4 linked regions of the Arabidopsis thaliana genome follow. The protein of the gene in region 1 interacts with the protein of each later gene in a biochemical or structural test. Each region holds a gene or a part of one and is shown in the gene's direction. Other genes may lie near its edges. The genes, in order: SUMO1, UBA2A, SCE1 and AT5G08450.

Region 1 (3,647 bases):
TCCGGTACCGGAATCTATATTCCCGGCGTTTTCTTTAAACAGAGCGTAGTCTAAAGAGATTTTATCGGCGTTTGCTGCGTAAGCGAAAAACGGATAAGCATTTACCATAAGATACGACGACGTTTGTTGAAGCAGAGCAAGCATTGGTTTAACAACCGGTTCGATTAATTCCGGTTTAAAAGAACCAGAGGAAGGCGGGTACGAATTAGCAAGCGCGCTAAGAGCAATAGGAGACGAGATCTTGATGGCTTTGTCGAGTTTATACTTAACCAGAGAGGTGTGAATGTTCTTCATCGCATTGACAAGATACGGCGTGATCGTCGGATCGACGAATACTTCGTTACCGACGGCGATAGCTTCGATCTCCGTCGCTGGGAAGTATGGCATTATGTGGGTTTTAATCCAGTTGTCGGCGAATGATTGGTGGGAGGCGGCGGAGGAGAGAAGCTCGTTAGGGAGAGCGACGATTACTTTGATTTTGGAATTTGCAAGTGCGGTTAGTACATTCTTATCGGTGTCGAAGATTTTGATACGGTTGATTCCTTGAGATTTCAGGAGGTTCACTACTTTCTCCGGCGACGGGAGATTGTTAGCTATCCGACCATAATTGACTCCGACCATTCCAGAATCTGTGGAAACAAAAACAAAAAAAACGCAAAATAAGAACAACGTAGTAGACACGGCAAATACAGAGACAGACATAGGTATATGAAGAGATTAAAAACTAACGTGCGTCAATGGCTGAGAGGAAGGAAAGAATCAGAAAATAAGGTAAGAAAGAAACGGCCATGGTTATTCTCGAGTGTATCTTCAGAAACAGAGCATTAAACGCATAGATGAGTGTCGTTTGATAGTTATGGAGACGAAGGAAAGTTTTTGTTGCGTTTGGGACGGAGCTGGTCTACAGTATTTATACGATTTAGGTGTAAACAAGTGCCAAGTGGGGGTTGTGGGATAACTAATAACACGGAAGAATAGCTGAAATAATAGATTTAACTAAAACTGTATAATTTTAAAGCTCTATTTATAGCAAAAAGTTTTACTTTACCATAATCTTCAGTTAAAGGAACTCTCTATAATTTTGATGTTTTTCTAACATATGAATGTTTTCATAGTTGATTTTGGTTATAACAGAAACCTAACAAAAACCTTGACTTTTATTGTTTCTTAAACAAGAGTCAAGACCTAGGTTCTTTATATGTTGCATTGCGCATATTTCGTTAATTCATCATCATTTCTTTCTTTTGTGAAGAGTGTGTGACAGACTTTATCTCCTTCAACTAATCTTTTTGTTAATACACAAAGTGACATGATTTATAGATTTAACAATTTATTTATTTCTTCTATGTCAAATTGTCAAGTCTTCAACAGATGATGAAATCATGGAGAGTGGTGGATAGGAGGACTCACGTCACGTGAGATCAGGAACTGCAACCTAAAATATTTAACCAAATGAAATTGTCTAGTGGGTTAGATGTGGCCCAATAAAAATATAAGCCCATTATAACGAAACGACAGATTTGAACATAACTAGCAGCCGTTGGATTAAAAGAGAACCTAGAGAGAATATGAACCGTTGGATAGATGCCCTACGATTTATGATAGAGAGGAATCCGATGCGTCCAAGTACAAAAGCCACGGCCAATTAGAGAGATTTTCAGAGTCAGTCTTTTTATATTCATCTCTCAGCATCATTCTTTGATTGTGTGAATCTCTCATCGTTCTCTCAAATTTCGTGTTTTTGTAACCGGACGGAGAACCTTTCACGATGTCTGCAAACCAGGAGGAAGACAAGAAGCCAGGAGACGGAGGAGCTCACATCAATCTCAAAGTCAAGGGACAGGTATCTCTCTTTCTCCTTCTCATCCTTGTGTGTTCTTGTGAATGTTTGGGTTTCTGATTTCGTGTAGCTGCGATTAGGGTTTTTCATTCTCCAATTTGGTTTAATTTTAGGGTTTCGTACTACTAGCTCAGTCTTAATGGTCTTCTTCCTCTTTTGTTTTACAGGTTTAAAGTATCCTGCTTTATGTTTACACGTTTGCTTGTTTTTGCTAATTGTTTATCAAATTTCTGAAATTATATAAGTCTTGTTTAGGTGTAAGTTGTTATTGAGCTTTTGGTTCCTGTTGTTGTTTGAGGGTTTTATAGTTTTGGAAGGGATAAGTTTACTTAGTTGTTGAATGTTCTAAAGACTGTGAACGATGCTGTCTCTGTACTAAGTTGTTATATATCTTCTGATGAAGTTGTAGTCTCTGTACTAAGTTTTCAATTAGTTTGGCTGATGTTTGTGCTTCAAATTCTCATAGACGAAGCCTTAAACTGAATGTTTGTTGATATGTGTTTAATTTTTCGACTCTTTCAGGTTACTACCAAAAGAGAGCCATGTGATTTAGTTATTGTTTCATATGCGGTCTCTAACGTTTATTGTTCCTTCTATATGTTTGTTTTATAGGATGGAAACGAGGTTTTCTTTAGGATCAAGAGAAGCACTCAGCTCAAGAAGCTGATGAATGCTTACTGTGACCGGCAATCTGTGGACATGAACTCCATTGCTTTCTTGTTTGATGGGCGTCGTCTTCGTGCTGAGCAAACTCCCGATGAGGTATAACATTCATTCTACATGCTTTATTTCTTACCTTTTGAAGTTTATAGTTTCTGATACTAATAATTCTTGACACTACAGCTTGACATGGAGGATGGTGATGAGATCGATGCGATGCTCCATCAGACTGGTGGCAGCGGTGGTGGTGCTACGGCCTGACACTTCGTCCAGGTTTAGGGCTTGTGTGTGATATGAATGGTTAAGGAGTAATCGGCATTAGGATTTGCAGACTTGTTTTTTTATCGTGACCATTCTCTTTAGAAACTAAGTTATTATGGTCACGAAGGTTAAAGAACCCTTTGGTTGATTTTTTGTCTTGTTCGTTTGGTATCGGATCCTATGATACTACTATTTCGGCTTAAAGGTGTTATTAACCCAATTATCTAAAGTTTGTTGGTATGGTAACGGTAAAAAGCTATTAATTATTGAAAGTGTGACTCTTAACATATACGTAGCTCATTGAGCTAATGGCGAGCAAAGATAAAATCCATCTAGTCAACTAAACAAAATATTACTTAAACATGAACTAGCATCGAGTTAGTGAATTATAGTCTATAGAGGACGACTTCATAACCAGAGCTTGTGGTGGTTATAGACAAGACAATAATCAGTATTATTACTCTCTCTCGAGTCTCGAGCTGTAAAAACTAAGTGTCTGAATCTTAACATGGTTGTTGATGGTAGAAAGACTTGGTTACAAGTAATTAGTTGGCTGAACCTGAACCCCTTCTTAAGACATATCCTTTGAATAATCAAATCTATACAAATAATAATCATATTAGTGAAGAACATATATAATTCATAAACACCAACTCATAACAAAAAACAAAGAACCAGAAGTCTAGGCACAAAATGCCCACAACCATCATACATAAACCAAGAAGCTTCAAATGCAACTACAAAGAGAGTTTGCTTATTTAGGCTTTTAATTATACATACAAACCACCAAGTCACCATATTGTTCACTGAAGGACAAGGCACTCGGCGGCCGTCCCATTTGTGATCGGACCTCCATGGGTTCTGTTGCTTTTCTGGTTAACATTGC
Region 2 (5,733 bases), on another chromosome or scaffold:
ATTCTGAATGTTGTGGATTAACATCCAATTCCATCTCCTCTCTAGACACACTAGAGTACAAAACAATTTGCTTATTCTGAAAATCAGCATCGCTAAACTCTTCTGATGCATCTTCAAAAGCTTCCTCAATGGCTACCACTCCGGGAAAATTTGGCTCTGCACTGCAGTATGGAACCAGCCTCATGTCACTGGACGAATCAAGCATTATTTCTTCCACCAACACTGTATTTATAGGAGATTCTGACTTTTCACTACAATCCATGGCTTCAGAAACTGAATAGCTATCATCCCAAACTTCAGGCTTGACATGAAAGAGCACCAACGGCAAATCAACCTTTTCCACAGATGGAGGAGAGGAAGTAGAAGTACCACACTTTGCTTTTTTACGCTCCTGCTTCTTCTTCCTTCTCTTGGAGAATTTCGTATCCCAACTGCTAAGAGGCTCCTCAATATCACATCCTTCATCTTGGGTCACATACTCTTTTTTAACTTCAACGTTCGAGAATGTCTCAGTAGTAGTATCTCTGCAGTTTCTAAGTTTCCTTTTCCTTTCTTTGCATTGTTTCTGAATCATCTCCAATGTTGTCATGCTAAAATCTTCAGACTCAGAACCTTGTGTAAAATCAGAACCATTGTCCAAATCCCTGACTACTCTTGGAATTGACTCAACACCTTGACTGTCTTCAAGATTGTATATATCCACCAACTGTCTAAATTTGAGCTTTGGTTTTCTTCTGCCATCCATATTCATCACTATTTTGATAGATCCGTCTTTAATGGTTCGGATATAATGTACATGAGAGTTCAAGTGTGTGCTACTTCTTAACTCCACCATTGTAACTATCAGATAATTACTTGCTAACAACTGATTAAGCTCGTATAATCCCCGCGCTCCTGGATTGAAACAAACAAAGGAATTACCGGTAAGGATACTGCTAAGTGCTAACAACAATAAACCAGAATCCTAAATTTCATTAAGCCAATCAGAGAAACGAACATCAATTAGCTACTAAACACAATTTGAAACCAAAACTCTTTTCTTAGAAAATCAATTGCACAAATCTGACCACGAAAAAGGACATGCAAATTAAAAAATGAAATTCACAATGGGCGGCGAAAACCCTAATTTCGCTACATCAATTTTTTTTGTAGCTGTATCGATTCGAGAATGGTAAAGAGCAGATCTGGGTAAAGTAGATGAATGAATCAAAGAGAAATTGAATCTAGGACATTGAATTTACCTTAAGTCTTAATCAACGCTTAATTGGATAGAGAAGGGAAATGAATGCCGAATCCTGGGCTCCAAACTCTAATTTCTGGATCTAGGGTTCACTAAAGAGACAGAGAGACATTAATTTGAAAACAAGACGAAGAAGAAGACCAAGAGACTGAAAATTGCAGCTCTTTGTAAGAAGGGAGGCGAAACCTTTTCTTTGGTTGTCTTGTCTTCTGAGTTCTGACTAATCTTATGAGCCGTCAAGTCTCGCGGGAAACACATGGCGGGAACTTTGACGTTATTCTTTTTTTCTTACTTAAGCATCTTTTCGTAAATGGGTCTTTAAACTTAAAGCCCAATAATCATTAATGGGCTTATATATATAAAATGGTTAGGGGTAAATGTGTAAAAATCCACTTAGCAAAGACTTGAGGTTGATGATATACCACCCACATAGCGGCGCATTATAGATAAGGAGGGGAAAATCAGCTTTTTGGAGAAGAAACCAAAGAAAACATTCGAAACCCTAAAATCTCCATTAGAATTCGAAAATGACAAAGAAGAGAAAGCTCGAAGGAGAAGAATCTAACGAAGCTGAAGAACCGTCGCAGAAGCTGAAGCAGACGCCGGAGGAGGAGCAGCAGCTTGTAATTAAAAATCAGGATAATCAAGGAGACGTTGAAGAAGTTGAATACGAGGAAGTAGAGGAAGAGCAAGAAGAAGAAGTAGAAGATGATGACGATGAAGATGATGGTGATGAGAATGAGGATCAGACGGATGGGAATCGTATAGAGGCGGCGGCGACGTCTGGATCTGGCAATCAAGAAGATGATGACGATGAACCAATTCAGGATCTGTTGGAACCATTTTCAAAGGAGCAAGTTTTGAGTCTTCTTAAGGAAGCAGCGGAGAAGCATGTTGATGTAGCCAATCGAATTAGGGAAGTAGCTGATGAGGACCCTGTTCATCGGAAGATCTTTGTGCACGGTCTTGGTTGGGATACGAAAACAGAGACGCTTATTGAAGCTTTTAAGCAGTACGGAGAGATCGAAGATTGCAAGGCTGTGTTTGATAAGATCTCAGGGAAATCTAAAGGTTATGGCTTTATTCTGTACAAGTCTCGTTCAGGTGCTCGCAACGCACTCAAGCAGCCTCAGAAGAAGATTGGTAGTCGTATGACGGCATGCCAATTGGCTTCTAAAGGACCTGTCTTTGGTGGAGCTCCTATCGCTGCTGCAGCTGTTTCAGCGCCTGCTCAGCATTCGAACTCGGAGCATACTCAGAAAAAGATTTATGTTAGTAATGTCGGAGCAGAGCTTGATCCACAGAAGTTGCTGATGTTTTTCTCAAAGTTTGGAGAAATTGAAGAAGGTCCTTTGGGTCTTGATAAGTATACTGGGAGACCTAAAGGTTTCTGTCTCTTTGTTTATAAGTCGTCTGAAAGCGCCAAGAGGGCTTTGGAGGAGCCACACAAGACTTTTGAAGGCCATATCTTGCATTGCCAGAAAGCTATCGATGGTCCCAAACCGGGCAAGCAGCAGCAGCATCACCATAACCCACACGCCTATAACAATCCTCGTTACCAAAGGAATGATAACAATGGTTATGGTCCGCCTGGAGGTCATGGACATCTCATGGCTGGTAACCCAGCTGGGATGGGTGGTCCAACGGCACAGGTGATAAACCCGGCCATTGGACAGGCCTTGACAGCTTTATTGGCATCTCAGGGAGCTGGTTTGGCTTTTAATCCGGCAATTGGACAGGCTTTGTTGGGTTCCTTGGGGACAGCTGCTGGTGTAAACCCAGGGAATGGAGTTGGAATGCCAACTGGTTACGGTACTCAAGCTATGGCACCGGGGACAATGCCTGGGTACGGTACACAACCTGGGTTGCAAGGCGGTTATCAGACTCCGCAACCTGGTCAAGGCGGTACAAGTAGAGGGCAACATGGTGTCGGGCCATACGGTACTCCTTACATGGGTCACTAAATGTATCATGTATCCATCCACTCAGGTAGAGCAATGAATTTCCCTTGTTTAATTGTTGAAATGTCTTTCCTCAGTATATATTAACTTACTGATGTCTGAAGACAAGAAGTTTCTGTGTATATCCACATGGTTTTTGTTTGCATTGGAGTTTTGGGGGATTTTGCAACGGTTGTTAAAGCATGTTACTTCTCTTATTTTCTTAAATTCATTGTGCAGATATCAGAAATCAGTGTTTTAATATTGGCCTGGTGATTCTTCTCAAGTTTATAAGGAGCTGATGCTAAATGAAGTCTTTATGAAATGTTACTCTTTGGTCACTCCTAAGGCCAAACTCATAAAAAACCTTTTAAGGAGTTTTAGTTTTCATCTACTTGTTTTTCCCAAACTCTCTTTATGAAATTCCTAAAAAAAACTTTGTACTACTATTTTCAGTGTTTATGTCTCTATTTTTTCAGTTTTCTGAATATCCCCCTTAGACTTTCATTTGTAAAACTAAAAAAGCGCAACTACGCTCCATGTGGGTCTTTGCTTATCGAACTCTAGTTTTTCCTAAATAGTTTTTATTGACTTCTCTGTTTTACGATTTCATGTGTTTTTCTGCCTGCAGTGTATTTTGTACCAAGTTATCTTGATTAACCTGGCTTTATGTACTATCCTGATTTTATGTTTGTTCAATTATTCCTCTTGCAGGTAATTGACTGCGGTTGAACAGCCAGATTATGTACCCCTAACTGTCAATGAAATTTCTTTAGCACACATATACTAATCTGAATGCAATTGGTTCTGAAATGATCAAAACTTGGAATTTTAAAATGCAGCAGAGCTCTCTCACTTGTGTTTTTGGATTTTCTATGACAAGTTTCAAAAGTTTTTACAATGACTATTTCAAATTAGAACTTTGTTTCCAAACTTATTTGTCATAAAATTACTAAGTTGCAGCCAACTTGGAACAGTCAAACTTGGTGGGAAGTGGTGCAAGCTTCTCAACGACACAGCTGAAGAATGATCTTTCTGAGGCAATTTCTCAATATTTGAAAAGTGGAAGCTATCGAATAGAGTTTCTCGACAACAGGCAGTTAAGTCTTTGGATCTCCACAACATGCTTGCAACTAAAAGGTAAGTTCAAAGTGTTGAGTATCTTCTTTGGCTATATACAACGTGCTTCCAATTGAAGGGTAAGTAATCAAAAGTGTTAAAAGTATATCTCTCAGTGCGAATCTCTTGCCTATATATGTTCTTGTTTATTGGTCCTAGTCCCTCTTTGAAGTGATAAAAGTTGGTTTTGGTCTAGAGAGCATGTACCTTCAGGTCCTTGTGCACAAGGTTCAGGGATTATTAGAAAAGTCACAAGAGTACGAGGTGATATATTATTTCCCTTAATGTTTCAGAGGAGTTTATAAAGGCGTGAATGCATAAAGTTTTTTTGGTGATGATTGCTTTGATGGTGAAATCTCTTTTTGGAAAAGTGCAGCTTTGAATATTATTTATGATGATGATACATAGTAGAAGGGTTCATTGATGATGAAGAAGAGAAGCAGAATATGAAGCTGAAGTGGAATTGGGGGAAGTAAGTAGTAGAGTTTTGTGTATTTGATCTCAAGTCAACAATCTCTCAATTGTTATGTCAAGTTTCGAAAAGGGAAAAAGGTCCTTCATTGATGAAGAGAATCCAAGATGCAATATTCTTCAAAGCCACATTCAATGTTCATAAAACCCAATCTGAGATTGGATAATAGAAAGTATAATTAAAGGTTTGAGATTTCAATATTGCAAAAAAATACATGTAAATTATTGCCTAAAAATGGTTTAACATGATTGCAGATTAATTTATAGTAATCACTTACCATTTAAAGAGAAACTCATAGGCATGAGGATTAGTGTTGAGAGCCAAAGAACATAAACATGTATATGTATAACCTTTTCTGATTAAAGTTTGATAATCAATCTACCTAAATTCCCATTGAAGCTAAATGAATGAAGGGTCTCCGAGCACATGTAGTGTTTATTGATTCCACCTTCATTTAAGTTAATCACTAATCATTAAGTGTTTAAACAAACCTCTGTTTCTTATTTTGATCGAAAGTTTGAGAAACCATTTTTGGGCAACTAAAAAAAGAAGAAACGCATTGAAAATTCCACAGGAGGCTTGAGAGGGGGGCATTGCCACAGTATCGAGTGTCACTTTCTCAATCAAAAGGTTTTCTCTCTCTTCTCTTTTTTCCTCTCCTGCGCGAAAACAAAACGAAGAGAGAGAGAGAGACTCAGACACACACAGACACAGAGTTTAGGTTTGCTTTGTAAATCTGTCTCTGCACTTATCATAGTTTCGTTTCTCTTTTGAGAAAGAAAAACCCAAACTTGCCATGTTTTAGATCTGGTCCTTTTTAAGCTCCAAAAGATTGTTGCTTTTTCTCTTGCTTAAGTTTTTGATTTATTCTTCTTCTTCGAAAAGTCTGTACCTCGCAAGAGTTTGATTGTCCTTGTGTTGCGATTTCCATGTTTAGTATCTGCATTTGATAGCCTTCGATG
Region 3 (4,111 bases), on another chromosome or scaffold:
GTGCTCCATCCTAACGGAGTCAAGAAAATGGGAGAAATTCACTTAGCTGTGAGATTCACTTGCTCTTCATTGCTCAACATGATGTATATGTACTCACAGCCTCTCTTACCGAAGATGCATTATATCCATCCACTGACGGTTAGCCAGCTTGATAACTTGAGGCATCAAGCGACTCAGATTGTATCGATGAGGCTGACCCGAGCAGAACCACCTCTAAGGAAAGAAGTAGTTGAGTATATGCTTGATGTGGGTTCTCACATGTGGAGTATGCGGAGAAGCAAAGCAAACTTTTTCAGGATTATGGGAGTTTTGAGTGGGTTAATCGCAGTAGGAAAATGGTTTGAACAAATCTGCAACTGGAAGAATCCAATCACAACAGTCTTGATCCATCTCTTGTTCATCATCCTTGTGCTCTATCCCGAACTAATCTTGCCCACCATCTTCCTCTACCTCTTCCTCATCGGTATCTGGTACTACCGTTGGAGACCGAGGCATCCTCCTCACATGGACACACGTCTCTCTCACGCTGACTCAGCCCACCCCGACGAGCTAGATGAAGAGTTCGACACTTTTCCTACTTCCCGACCATCTGACATAGTCAGGATGAGGTATGACAGGTTGAGGAGTATTGCTGGTAGGATTCAGACAGTGGTAGGTGATCTAGCAACTCAAGGAGAAAGGCTTCAGTCTCTGCTAAGCTGGCGTGATCCGCGTGCAACAGCGCTCTTCGTCTTGTTCTGCTTGATTGCCGCAGTCATTCTCTATGTGACACCTTTCCAGGTTGTGGCTCTTTGTATTGGAATCTATGCTCTGAGACATCCGAGGTTCAGATACAAACTACCATCCGTTCCTCTCAATTTCTTCAGAAGGCTTCCTGCAAGAACTGATTGCATGCTCTGACCTGCAAAAACTGCTTCCAATACCGAAGAAAACTTCTATAAGACTTGTAGTTTGTTCTTGTTAAAAATATCATGATGACTCTTTTTAGTTTGTTCATTGTTAAAAATGTCATGATGACTCTTTTCTTGGTGATGGTGATGATGTATCCGTCTGTCTTTTAACATTATTAAGACTTTTGTTTGAAAGTAGTAAAGAAGTATCTTGTGTGGTTTTGATGTTCTTGTCACTGGTTAGTAAGTCATAATCTATGCCTCTCTGGTTTTTGTGTTTTATCACTGGAGCTTTAGGAGTTTGGTGCCATTGGGTTGGTTGCTGTTGAGATTAGAGGTTGTCACAGTTTGGTCTAATGGTCAAATACAAGTTTCAAGAAAAAACCATTTTTCTAATACATCCAAAGTTGGTTATAACCAAAAAAACTATCATATTGGGAATATATGTTCGCTAAATAACATTCTTACACAAAAATTCATTGAAAGCTTTGATATTTTATTTTTTTTCCGACCATTCTGTTTGACAAATGTTTGCCAGGTGAGATACTTTTATTCTAGAAAGACCAACCATTAAGAAGAAGAGGGGAATAATTAAAGCAAGCTTAAGAGTTAAGAACACAAAGTAAATGGGCCCAGATATGGTAATGGGCCACGTGACAAATGGGATGATACGTTATGGCAGAGAAAGAATCTTTTGGTAGCTTTTTTGGGTATCATCGCGTAGGTTTCACGCCACATTTATCCATTGACTTTTTCATTACGTCTTTTCATTTATTTTATGATATAGTAGATAATAATTATACCTGGTTAAAATTTAATAATTGACCGGTCAATAACCATTAAAGTGGAGGAAGTAGGACGAAAGGACATTTATTCGCCGCGAAATCTGGACCGTACGATACTCCGATTACCCTTCTAAAGCTTTAACATAGGGGTACATCTGTAACTTCACATTCCATCTTCCCCCAATCTCCTATTTGTGTCTTCTTCGAGTTTATATATAGAGAGATAGAGATTGGAGAGCGAGCGAGACAAATCAGAAGAGAGAGATTTAGATATTGTAGAGTGAGATTCTAAAGAGAGAGAGAGAGAGAGATATGGCTAGTGGAATCGCTCGTGGTCGTTTAGCTGAAGAGAGGAAATCGTGGAGGAAGAATCATCCTCATGTAAGTGATTTCGTGTCTTCTATTTCTCCAAATTCGTGATTTTGATTTATGGGTTTTGGGTTTCTGTTGATTGTTCATGGTCTCTGATTACTGATTGGGTTTCTTCTTGTTGATGGTGAAATTTAGGGTTTTGTGGCAAAGCCGGAGACGGGGCAGGATGGAACTGTGAATCTAATGGTGTGGCATTGCACTATACCTGGTAAAGCTGGGGTAAGTATCAATCGTGAAATTAGGTTTCTTCAGTTTTCTTATTCCTCTGCTTGTTTTCTTCTGGTTTGTATTAGTAGCAACAAAAAAGAGATTGAAATTAGGGTTTATTGATTTGGGCTAAAGTCTTTGTTTTTATCATCTTCTGATTCTTAGTTCTTCAAAGTTTTAAGCTTCACCAGTCTCTTCCCTTCTTTTTCTTTGTGATTCTGTTTGATGATTCTCTCATATTTGCTTACACATAGAGCCGTGGAAGATTATCTAATATGAATGTTAGTGGGAAGAGTAGCTGTGTATCTATCTCCTTGTTTATCTTGTATGATGTTTTTTTATTGGTGCATATGATTTTGGTCTTGAATACGACATTGAAACTGAACTCTGCTGTGTATCTTACTTTGACATGGCTAATAAGAGTGTTACTGCAAGAGCAATTGCTAATATCAATCTTTACTGTTGTTTATAGCTAATTTTACATGTTTCTCTGCTGCAGACTGATTGGGAAGGTGGATTCTTTCCATTAACGATGCACTTCAGTGAGGATTATCCGAGCAAACCTCCGAAATGTAAATTTCCACAAGGGTTTTTCCACCCTAATGTCTATCCATCTGGAACTGTCTGTCTCTCTATCCTTAACGAGGATTATGTAAGTACTCTACTGTTTCTTTCTTTGCATTTCTCCATGAGCAAAAGCCAGCTTTATCCTCAAGCTCTCTTTTGTTATGTGTATATCCATAGGGATGGAGACCAGCCATCACCGTGAAGCAGATTCTTGTTGGTATTCAGGATTTACTTGACACACCGAATCCCGCTGACCCTGCACAGACAGATGGTTATCATCTCTTCTGTCAGGTACATTTAGAAATGAAAACTCTAAACACAATATTAGGTTTTGAAACATAGGAAGGAACTAAGTCGAGTGATTGTTGATGATTATTGTGCAGGATCCAGTTGAGTACAAGAAAAGGGTGAAGCTGCAGTCCAAGCAGTATCCTGCTCTTGTCTAAAACCTCAAAAAAGAGAACGCACCAAAACTGATGACAAGCTCTGAATATTTTCTCGTCTTGTGTCATTATGTTTAGATGTCATTGGGTGATTGAAAACTCCTCATTTTGGCACCTTAAGACACTGGAATCTATTTATTTTCGAAAAAAAACTCTTCTTTCTCTATTTAACTGTTAATATTCTTGGTACTGATTCAGTTGGTGTTGCTTCTATATAATACATAATTATGTTCTCTGGTCGTTCATGAGTGTTGTCCAAATTCTACTAAGTGAAATATGAAGTCTTCATTCCATAGAGTAACGAATCTTAGTTGTGAATCTAGAAATACATATATTTCTAACTTGAAACTACGCTTAACACTTGAAAGTCAAAATCTTACTCCTCTAAAATTTATACTCCACTGATTTTAGACTTTTGAAGTAGTATTAGTGCTTGTTAGTAAATTGTTTGCTACTTGGAACATTTTTTGTCAATGATTGAGATAGAAAGCTTGGAATATTTAACAGAACTTGGAATTTAGCTACGAAATCAAGTGTGCAGAAAGAGATAGGCAAACACCGTATGTCAACAGTTACAAAGCAATAAAACCAAACATTCAATACTTATATACAACTCAATTATTGAAAGTCAACAACAAGCCAAAATCGTCTACAAGTGATGACACTTCAGATATGAAATGTGTGAACTATTATAATCTTTCCTATGATATCATCATCAGCAGATGATTCCTGATCTATTCTATCATCAGAACAATGATTTTCCAAAACGAGTATCCTATAAAATCGTCAAAAGATGATTGACGCTTCTAATAAAATCATCAGAAAATGATACAAGTCTAAGAAACCA
Region 4 (7,463 bases), on another chromosome or scaffold:
AGAAGGAGGTCGGCGAAAGAAGTAGGGTCGTAAATAGAGCTTGAGAGGAATAGCCTTGGTTTCAGATAATTGTTAATGTAGTCATTGTTACCCAATGACACCACCACCAATGACTTTGCCATATATTCCTTCACTGACTCTTTCCTCATGCTCCTACTTATCTCCATTAATGTCTTCTCGAAGTTCTCCACTTGTCTTCCCATGCTAAATCTCTCTCCCTTCATCCATGCATGCATGCAAGAATGCAACCCCATTTATTATAGTCTTTTTTTTGGGGTTATTAAATACTCATGTCTCGTAGGCAAAAGTTTTTCATGCACCCTATCAAAGTCACTCGACATTAAATAACCTCCCGTGATTCAAATGTGGCTACTTCTATTGGTTAAAGGACGACTGTTCCGGCGGACTTTATGCACCCCAAATTCACTTTTTTATTTTTTTATTTTTTTTACTTAGCGAAAGATAACTTTCAATTTTCAATATCGAAAACCGTATGCTTATTAACAAAAAAGCATAGTACAATTCAATTTTCGGTTTCAGTTTTGGATATTTCGAACTTGGATTCTTTATATGAACATAAGCAATCGATTAGACCAATTTCGTTAAACAAAGTTTTTGATATGAACTAACATGGTAAAAAAAAAGAAACATATCCTATATAACCAAAAAATGTTTTGAACAATAAAAATAGACATTTAGAAAGAAAAAAAAGAAGAAGTACCAGATGGCGACCGGTTTCCTCTAAGATTCCTCCGGCAGCTGAGGCATAGTTCACACCATGGAGAATATCCACTCCTCCGTCAACCGTGTCCATAAACGCCGGTATCTCCGGCAGCCCTAGCAACTCTCCTGCAACCATCCACATCCATCCCCATGATCATGTTAATTAATTAATTGCTAACCCAAAACAAACTAAAAAATTAACAAAACAAAAAAAAAAAGTAAAAGGGTGAATCTCTTGTGCAAATTAAATTTATGCATGCACTGATTTCAAAACCAAATGCATGTAGAGACCGATATGTAAAATATGTACCAATGAAATCGACGATAGTTTTGCCGTTAGAGAAGCGACCGGTTGGTTGATTTCCAGCGAAATCGATGCCGTAAGGGAGATAGTTGGACCTAGCCAGTGAGTTCAAGTGGTTATTGTTTCCGTTATCCACCAAAGAGTCTCCGAACACAAACATCGCCGGAAACATTGCCGTCGTCTCGGATGAGTCTTCTCCACCGGCGAGTACAAATACTACTAGAAACCATGGAACAAGTACTAATGTTTGAACTGTGCAAGACATCATCATCATGTCTTTAAACTTGAATATTTCACTATCATGCATGGTCGCTTGAGATATATAAATACCAAGGTGATATGACTCCTTCCTTCGATTTATTTATTTATTATTTTATTTCGTCTCAGTGAATTTAATGAGCTCTGTTTTCCGTTGACTTTTTATTGTACTGTATAAAAAAAATTAAAAACGACAAAATCTATATCCTATGAACAATTCAATTAATAGAAAGTTTTATGGAAAAAGTGAGAGATTGAATAAGTATGAGGGCATAACGGCAATAAATAAAACCTAAATTGTGGAGACTTGTAAGAGCACGACGGTCTGTGACAAGAAGCAAATATTAACGCGAAAAATAAACATTTGTCCAAAATAAAGTAGCAAACCAAGGAGAACGGAAAATAAATTAGACTCATCAGAGAAACTCAGAGAGAGGCAAAAGTCCGAATCCAGTTTGCCATTTATTACTTCCCGGCGGCAAAATCCAAAAGGGTTTGCTTCTTCGTGCTCTGCTTCAGTTTCAATTGGTAAAAGAAATATCCTTTTTAAAAAAATCTTCGGCTCTGTGTTCATTTTAGGGATTCAATGTTTAGTCTGGTGATTCAAATTCTGTGTTTTGCTCTAGGTTGTGTATGAATTAAGTGCAATTCTATCTGTTGCAGCAGTGAATTTCTGGGTTATTGAATTTGGGAGTGATGAGTGGTGTTCCAAAGAGATCTCACGAAGAGGGTGTTACTCATCCATCTTCTTCTTCATCAGTAGCAAAATACCCTCACGAGGATTCTGGATCTTACCCTAAATCGCCGCATCAGCCTGTGACGCCACCACCGGCTCAGGTTCATCATAACCATCAACAGCCCCATCAGCATCCCCAATCTCAATCTCAATCTCAGCCTCAACCTCACCTCCAGGCGCTTCCTCACCCTCATTCTCATTCTCACTCCCATTCACCACTTGCTGCTGCTGCTTCTGCTTCTGCTCCTTATGAGGTTGAATCTAGAACGGTGGTTAAGGTTGCGAGAAGCGAGCCTAGAGATGGAGAGAGACGCTCTCCTCTGCCTCTTGTCTATCGGTCTCCGTCGCTGCCCACAACTGTTTCTTCTAGTGATCCTCATTTGACTCACGCCCCTGTGCCGATGGAGCCGAGAGATGGTGCTAAGGATGGCAGGGAAATTAGGGTTGAGAGTAGAGAAAATAGGAGTGATGGGAGAGAGATATATGGTGAGACAAAGAGGGAGATTCAGGGTCCTAAGGGAGACAGAGATGTGAAATTTGAGAGATCAGTAGATGACTTTAGCGGAAAAGGTAATACCGGAAGCTATACTAGGAATGATGGGAGAGAGATGTATGGTGAGACTAAGAGGGAGATTCAGGGTCCTAAGAGTGACAGGGATGCCAAGTTTGAGCGTCCAGGGGATGATTTTAGCGGGAAAAGTAATGCCGGTAGCTATACTAGGGATACAAAATTTGATAGGGAGAATCAAAATTATAATGAACAAAAGGGGGAGATTAAGATGGAAAAGGAAGGGCATGCTCACTTGGCTTGGAAAGAGCAGAAGGATTACCATAGAGGGAAGAGAGTTGCTGAAGGTTCGACTGCAAATGTGGACCCGTGGGTTGTATCCCGCGGTAATCCGCAAGGCCCAACTGAGGTTGGGCCTAAAGATCTCTCTGCGCCTGTGGAGGGGTCTCATTTGGAAGGACGTGAAACCGTCGGAGAAAACAAGGTTGATGCCAAAAACGAAGATAGATTTAAGGAAAAAGATAAGAAAAGAAAAGAGTTAAAGCATCGAGAATGGGGGGACCGAGACAAGGATAGAAATGACCGTCGAGTATCTGTGCTTGTTGGTAGTGTCATGAGTGAACCCAAAGAGATTGGAAGAGAAGAAAGGGAATCCGATAGGTGGGAACGGGAGAGGATGGAGCAGAAAGATCGAGAAAGAAATAAAGAGAAAGATAAAGATCATATCAAAAGAGAGCCAAGGACTGGTGCTGAGAAAGAGATCTCGCAGAACGAGAAAGAGCTGGGAGAAGCATCTGCCAAACCCTCAGAGCAGGAATATGTGGCACCAGAGCAGAAGAAGCAGAACGAACCGGATAATTGTGAAAAAGACGAAAGAGAAACAAAGGAAAAAAGGAGAGAGAGGGATGGTGATTCAGAGGCAGAAAGAGCTGAAAAGCGCAGCAGAATCAGTGAAAAAGAATCTGAAGATGGGTGTTTAGAGGGTGAAGGAGCTACCGAGAGGGAAAAGGATGCCTTCAATTATGGGGTTCAGCAGAGGAAGAGAGCGCTGAGACCGAGAGGCAGCCCACAAACCACTAATCGCGACAATGTCCGCTCACGGAGTCAGGACAACGAAGGGTGCGTCTCTCTGTCTTCCTCGTTTAATTATAATTATATGTTTCTCATTGCTTAGTAGAATCCTTTATCTTTACCATTTAGAGAGACATACCCCATTGATTAAATTTGGAGCCTATATAGTAATATCTGCAGGTGATACGATACTATATGATGAAGGGGCCATTATTGTTGAATATCTTATTACCATTATTGTTTTTCCTCTTAAAAGATAAAAAGCCTTTAAATAAAATTCTGCAATCATATGTGTATTATGTAGTGTCTTATCTCTGAAAACCAAATTTGATTTTTCTCTGGATTCCTCTCCGCTCCTTTTCTATCTGTGTTAAGAATATTATGTCTTTTATTACGTAAGTTAGGTATTAGCTAAGCTCAAGACTTTTGTTTTTGTAATTACTGGCCTGGCTTGTAATGTATCATCCGTTTTTGATTGTGTTTATTTTGCAGAGTACAAGGTAATCATTCATTTCTATATCCTCAAGAAAGGATCAAGTTGCACTGCTTGGAGAACAATAGTAAAAAAAAACCGGTTATGACATTTTTCTTTTACATATCACTGAAATGGTCATCTACGAACACACATGCACTTGATAAGCAATCTATTTTGAGATTTTCTTCTTATGGTCGTCCTTAGGTTACTGTTCTTTACTCTCACAGTAGAATGTCAAATATATAAAGAACCTCAAGATCTAAAAATATGGACCTAATAGTCGATGTGATCCTTAATGCTACTTGAGATTTTGGCTGCTAAAAGTTACTTACTGCCCTGGCTTTTTTTTTAACTTTTATCATTTTTCTGTTTCTTTTATTTTCTACACAATTTGAATCCCTTTGCACTTCATAATTTGATCTTGTTGAATTTTATTGTACTGATGATTCAGGCAAGTCAGAGGTGTCGATTGTTGTTTACAAAGTTGGCGAATGTATGCAAGAACTGATTAAGTTGTGGAAAGAATATGATTTGTCTCATCCTGATAAAAGCGGTGATTTCGCTAATAATGGCCCCACTCTTGAAGTTAGGATTCCAGCTGAGCATGTTACTGCTACAAATCGCCAAGTAAGTCGAATATATATCCAAATTTTTCTCATAATCATTTTCATTGTTTTTCTTCTAGATGACTTGGTGCATATAGTTTTAGTTCCAGTCTTTTGATCTGTTTAATTCACTTCGCCTATTAATTTGAGAAACACAGCTCCCTTGTTTGTTACTTGCTGAGACATTTGGCTCGTGTGCAGGTAAGAGGTGGCCAACTATGGGGAACAGATATATACACAGACGATTCCGATCTTGTTGCTGGTATGTACCCTAATGAATCTTATGCAATTATTATCTTTGTTTGGCCCGAACATGACATTGATTCTGGTCTACCTGTCATCTAGTTCTCATGCATACAGGTTACTGTCGTCCCACAGCTTCTCCTCCTCCACCGACAATGCAAGAGCTGCGCACTACTATTAGAGTCTTGCCGTCACAAGATTGTAAGTTAGCTTACCTCTGTCTTGCTTTTGATTCCTTTAACTGACTGTTGCATGTGAACTTCATACTATGTTGAGCTCTTCTCTGCTTTATATCAAGGAAGAATCTTTATCAAACTTCCAACTTAACTGATATATTTGTTAGACTACACCTCCAAGCTAAGGAACAATGTCCGTTCTCGAGCATGGGGAGCTGGAATCGGATGCAGTTATAGAGTTGAGCGGTGCTATATACTGAAGGTGATTTGACATGTGCCATTATGTGTCTTTCTAATTTCCTTGATTATCTTCTCCCACTATGTGCGTAATATCTAGTTTTAAGTGAATTTGTGTAAAACTCCTTATGGAAATTCTGATGATATGATTCCAGAAAGGAGGTGGGACTATTGAACTGGAACCTTCCCTTACACACTCCTCAACTGTGGAGCCAACTCTTGCACCAATGGCTGTTGAAAGATCTATGACCACCAGAGCTGCAGCTTCGGTATTTTCCTTCCACTTTGGAAATATCTGCTCTCTTAATCTTCTTACAACTCTTGGATTATTACACATGGCGGCTTGCATAGTTTTCTCATATTTCATATCTTTCGAACACTGACGACTTATTTACTGTTCTGTAGAATGCTCTGCGGCAACAAAGGTTTGTACGAGAAGTCACAATACAATACAATCTCTGCAATGAACCTTGGTAACTCTCTGTCAATAATCTCCAAATACTTCAAAAATTGTTCACAGAATTTCCTAAATTTATCAGAAATCTTTGTCACCTAAAAGTTATCAGACGCAAGGGTCAGTTTTACTTACGCATCGATCTACTTGTCTGCAGGATTAAATATAGCATAAGCATTGTTGCTGATAAAGGTCTCAAGAAGCCTCTTTTCACCTCTGCCCGCTTGAAGAAAGGGGAAGTTTTGTACTTAGAAACTCATTCATGCAGGTATGCACATCACATGTTTCTTTTATCTGACATTAATGACATAAGACGCTGAATCTAATCTGTGTATGCAAAAAGGTATGAGCTCTGTTTCGCAGGAGAGAAGACCATCAAAGCAATCCAAGCCTCACAACAACAATCATCACATGAAGCTATGGAGACAGATAATAATAATAACAAGTCACAGAACCATCTGACAAACGGTGACAAAACAGATTCAGACAACAGTTTAATTGATGTTTTCCGCTGGTCACGATGTAAGAAACCTCTCCCACAGAAGCTTATGCGGTCTATCGGGTTTCCACTCCCAGCAGATCATATCGAGGTTAACATTTTTCTCCAATTTGACTCTTCTTGTTTTGAAAATTCTTTATAAAACAAATGCTGATGATGTGTTGTGGATTTTGGAATGGAGTAGGTGTTGGAGGAGAATCTTGATTGGGAAGATGTACAGTGGTCACAAACTGGTGTTTGGATTGCTGGAAAAGAGTACACTCTTGCTCGTGTTCATTTTCTCTCCCCCAACTAAAAAAAACCTTTCATGCTTTGCTTCTATCTTACAAAACTTTTTATATTTTATTTATGGATTAGAGACTACAGTTACTTTGGCCTATCTTGTCTTGTGTACTTCTTCCTTGTAACATTTATTTATATATCGTCAGAAACATCCTTGGCACACCTCAACTTGCCACCTAACTTCTTCAGCACTAGAGGTATACACTCGGCCATCTGCCCAGGTTCCCTTTTCGAGAATCAAAAAAAGATTGTGCATATCTCTGATTCCAGCATCAAAATCCTCCCAAGCCGTCCTGATCAAACCCCATTGGACTGACTTGCCACCAATATGATATACTCCATTCTTTGGTTTGATATTTCTCGAGGAGACATGATGGATAACCAAAGCAGCCTTTCCCCCACGGGACTACCAATTTTCGGGCCGCTTTTAACACTTCTCCATAACTTCAAGCCGAACTGCAACACACTAGAATTTCATCATGCAGCAAGAACATCAACATATAGCGAGAGCTCACTCCTAGTTGCATAACCTCCTCTCTAAGCTCCTTTTTATACTTAGCCCGTTCAGGCCCGCGGGCTGCTAGCCCACTTTAACATCACATATGCCATCAGTGAACATCACATATGTTGGGCTTTGTTAGCTTTGTATGATGTGGTTCAATGAACATCACATATGCCAAAGACGGCATTTTGGTAATTACATGTTGACTTAGAATATAGAATGGCTTCTCTTTAGAAATGATTTCATTTCATCTTCTTCTGAAAACCGACATTTGTAATGAAATGTAAAGTGGAACTCAGATCAACAAAAGATTTGGTTTATTACTACTTTTTTTTTTGCTCATATTTTTTTTTTCATATACTGAAATTGATTGAATAGTTTTTTCTTAAT

Evidence for each region.
Region 2: the proteins of SUMO1 (region 1) and UBA2A form a complex in vitro, tested with the Arabidopsis thaliana proteins (one study listed by BioGRID).
Region 3: the proteins of SUMO1 (region 1) and SCE1 form a complex in vitro, tested with the Arabidopsis thaliana proteins (one study listed by BioGRID).
Region 4: the proteins of SUMO1 (region 1) and AT5G08450 form a complex in vitro, tested with the Arabidopsis thaliana proteins (one study listed by BioGRID).

The regions. Positions count from the first base shown.
Region 1 is NC_003075.7:13,495,698-13,499,344, forward strand, and holds SUMO1 (small ubiquitin-like modifier 1), read left to right. Parts: upstream 1-1,589; 5' UTR 1,590-1,768; coding exon 1,769-1,843; intron 1,844-2,452; coding exon 2,453-2,602; intron 2,603-2,683; coding exon 2,684-2,761; 3' UTR 2,762-3,123; downstream 3,124-3,647. Other genes in the region: AT4G26830 (O-Glycosyl hydrolases family 17 protein), read right to left, coding at 1-702; VTC2 (GDP-L-galactose phosphorylase 1), read right to left, coding at 3,565-3,647. UniProt on the Arabidopsis thaliana protein: Ubiquitin-like protein which can be covalently attached to target lysines as a monomer. Does not seem to be involved in protein degradation and may function as an antagonist of ubiquitin in the degradation process.
Region 2 is NC_003074.8:21,048,179-21,053,911, reverse strand, and holds UBA2A (UBP1-associated protein 2A), read left to right. Parts: upstream 1-1,591; 5' UTR 1,592-1,767; coding exon 1,768-3,204; 3' UTR 3,205-3,229; exon of another isoform or gene 3,230-4,157; 3' UTR 4,158-5,185; downstream 5,186-5,733. Other genes in the region: AT3G56870 (uncharacterized protein), read right to left, coding at 1-835. UniProt on the Arabidopsis thaliana protein: Heterogeneous nuclear ribonucleoprotein (hnRNP)-like protein that acts as a component of a complex regulating the turnover of mRNAs in the nucleus. Binds with high affinity to RNA molecules that contain U-rich sequences in 3'-UTRs.
Region 3 is NC_003074.8:21,427,987-21,432,097, reverse strand, and holds SCE1 (sumo conjugation enzyme 1), read left to right. Parts: upstream 1-1,699; 5' UTR 1,700-1,987; coding exon 1,988-2,056; intron 2,057-2,182; coding exon 2,183-2,266; intron 2,267-2,753; coding exon 2,754-2,906; intron 2,907-2,998; coding exon 2,999-3,112; intron 3,113-3,204; coding exon 3,205-3,267; 3' UTR 3,268-3,602; downstream 3,603-4,111. Other genes in the region: AT3G57880 (Calcium-dependent lipid-binding (CaLB domain) plant phosphoribosyltransferase family protein), read left to right, coding at 1-900. UniProt on the Arabidopsis thaliana protein: SUMO-conjugating enzyme that accepts the SUMO proteins from the E1 SUMO-activating heterodimer SAE1/SAE2 and catalyzes its covalent attachment to other proteins with the E3 SUMO ligases SIZ1 and MMS21.
Region 4 is NC_003076.8:2,727,091-2,734,553, reverse strand, and holds AT5G08450 (zinc finger CCCH domain protein), read left to right. Parts: upstream 1-1,628; 5' UTR 1,629-1,813; intron 1,814-1,911; exon of another isoform or gene 1,912-1,948; 5' UTR 1,949-1,981; coding exon 1,982-3,648; intron 3,649-4,092; coding exon 4,093-4,100; intron 4,101-4,526; coding exon 4,527-4,702; intron 4,703-4,881; coding exon 4,882-4,942; intron 4,943-5,025; coding exon 5,026-5,124; intron 5,125-5,266; coding exon 5,267-5,361; intron 5,362-5,491; coding exon 5,492-5,605; intron 5,606-5,741; coding exon 5,742-5,809; intron 5,810-5,947; coding exon 5,948-6,058; intron 6,059-6,133; coding exon 6,134-6,380; intron 6,381-6,473; coding exon 6,474-6,584; 3' UTR 6,585-6,941; downstream 6,942-7,463. Other genes in the region: AT5G08460 (GDSL-like Lipase/Acylhydrolase superfamily protein), read right to left, coding at 1-218, 722-849, 1,034-1,334.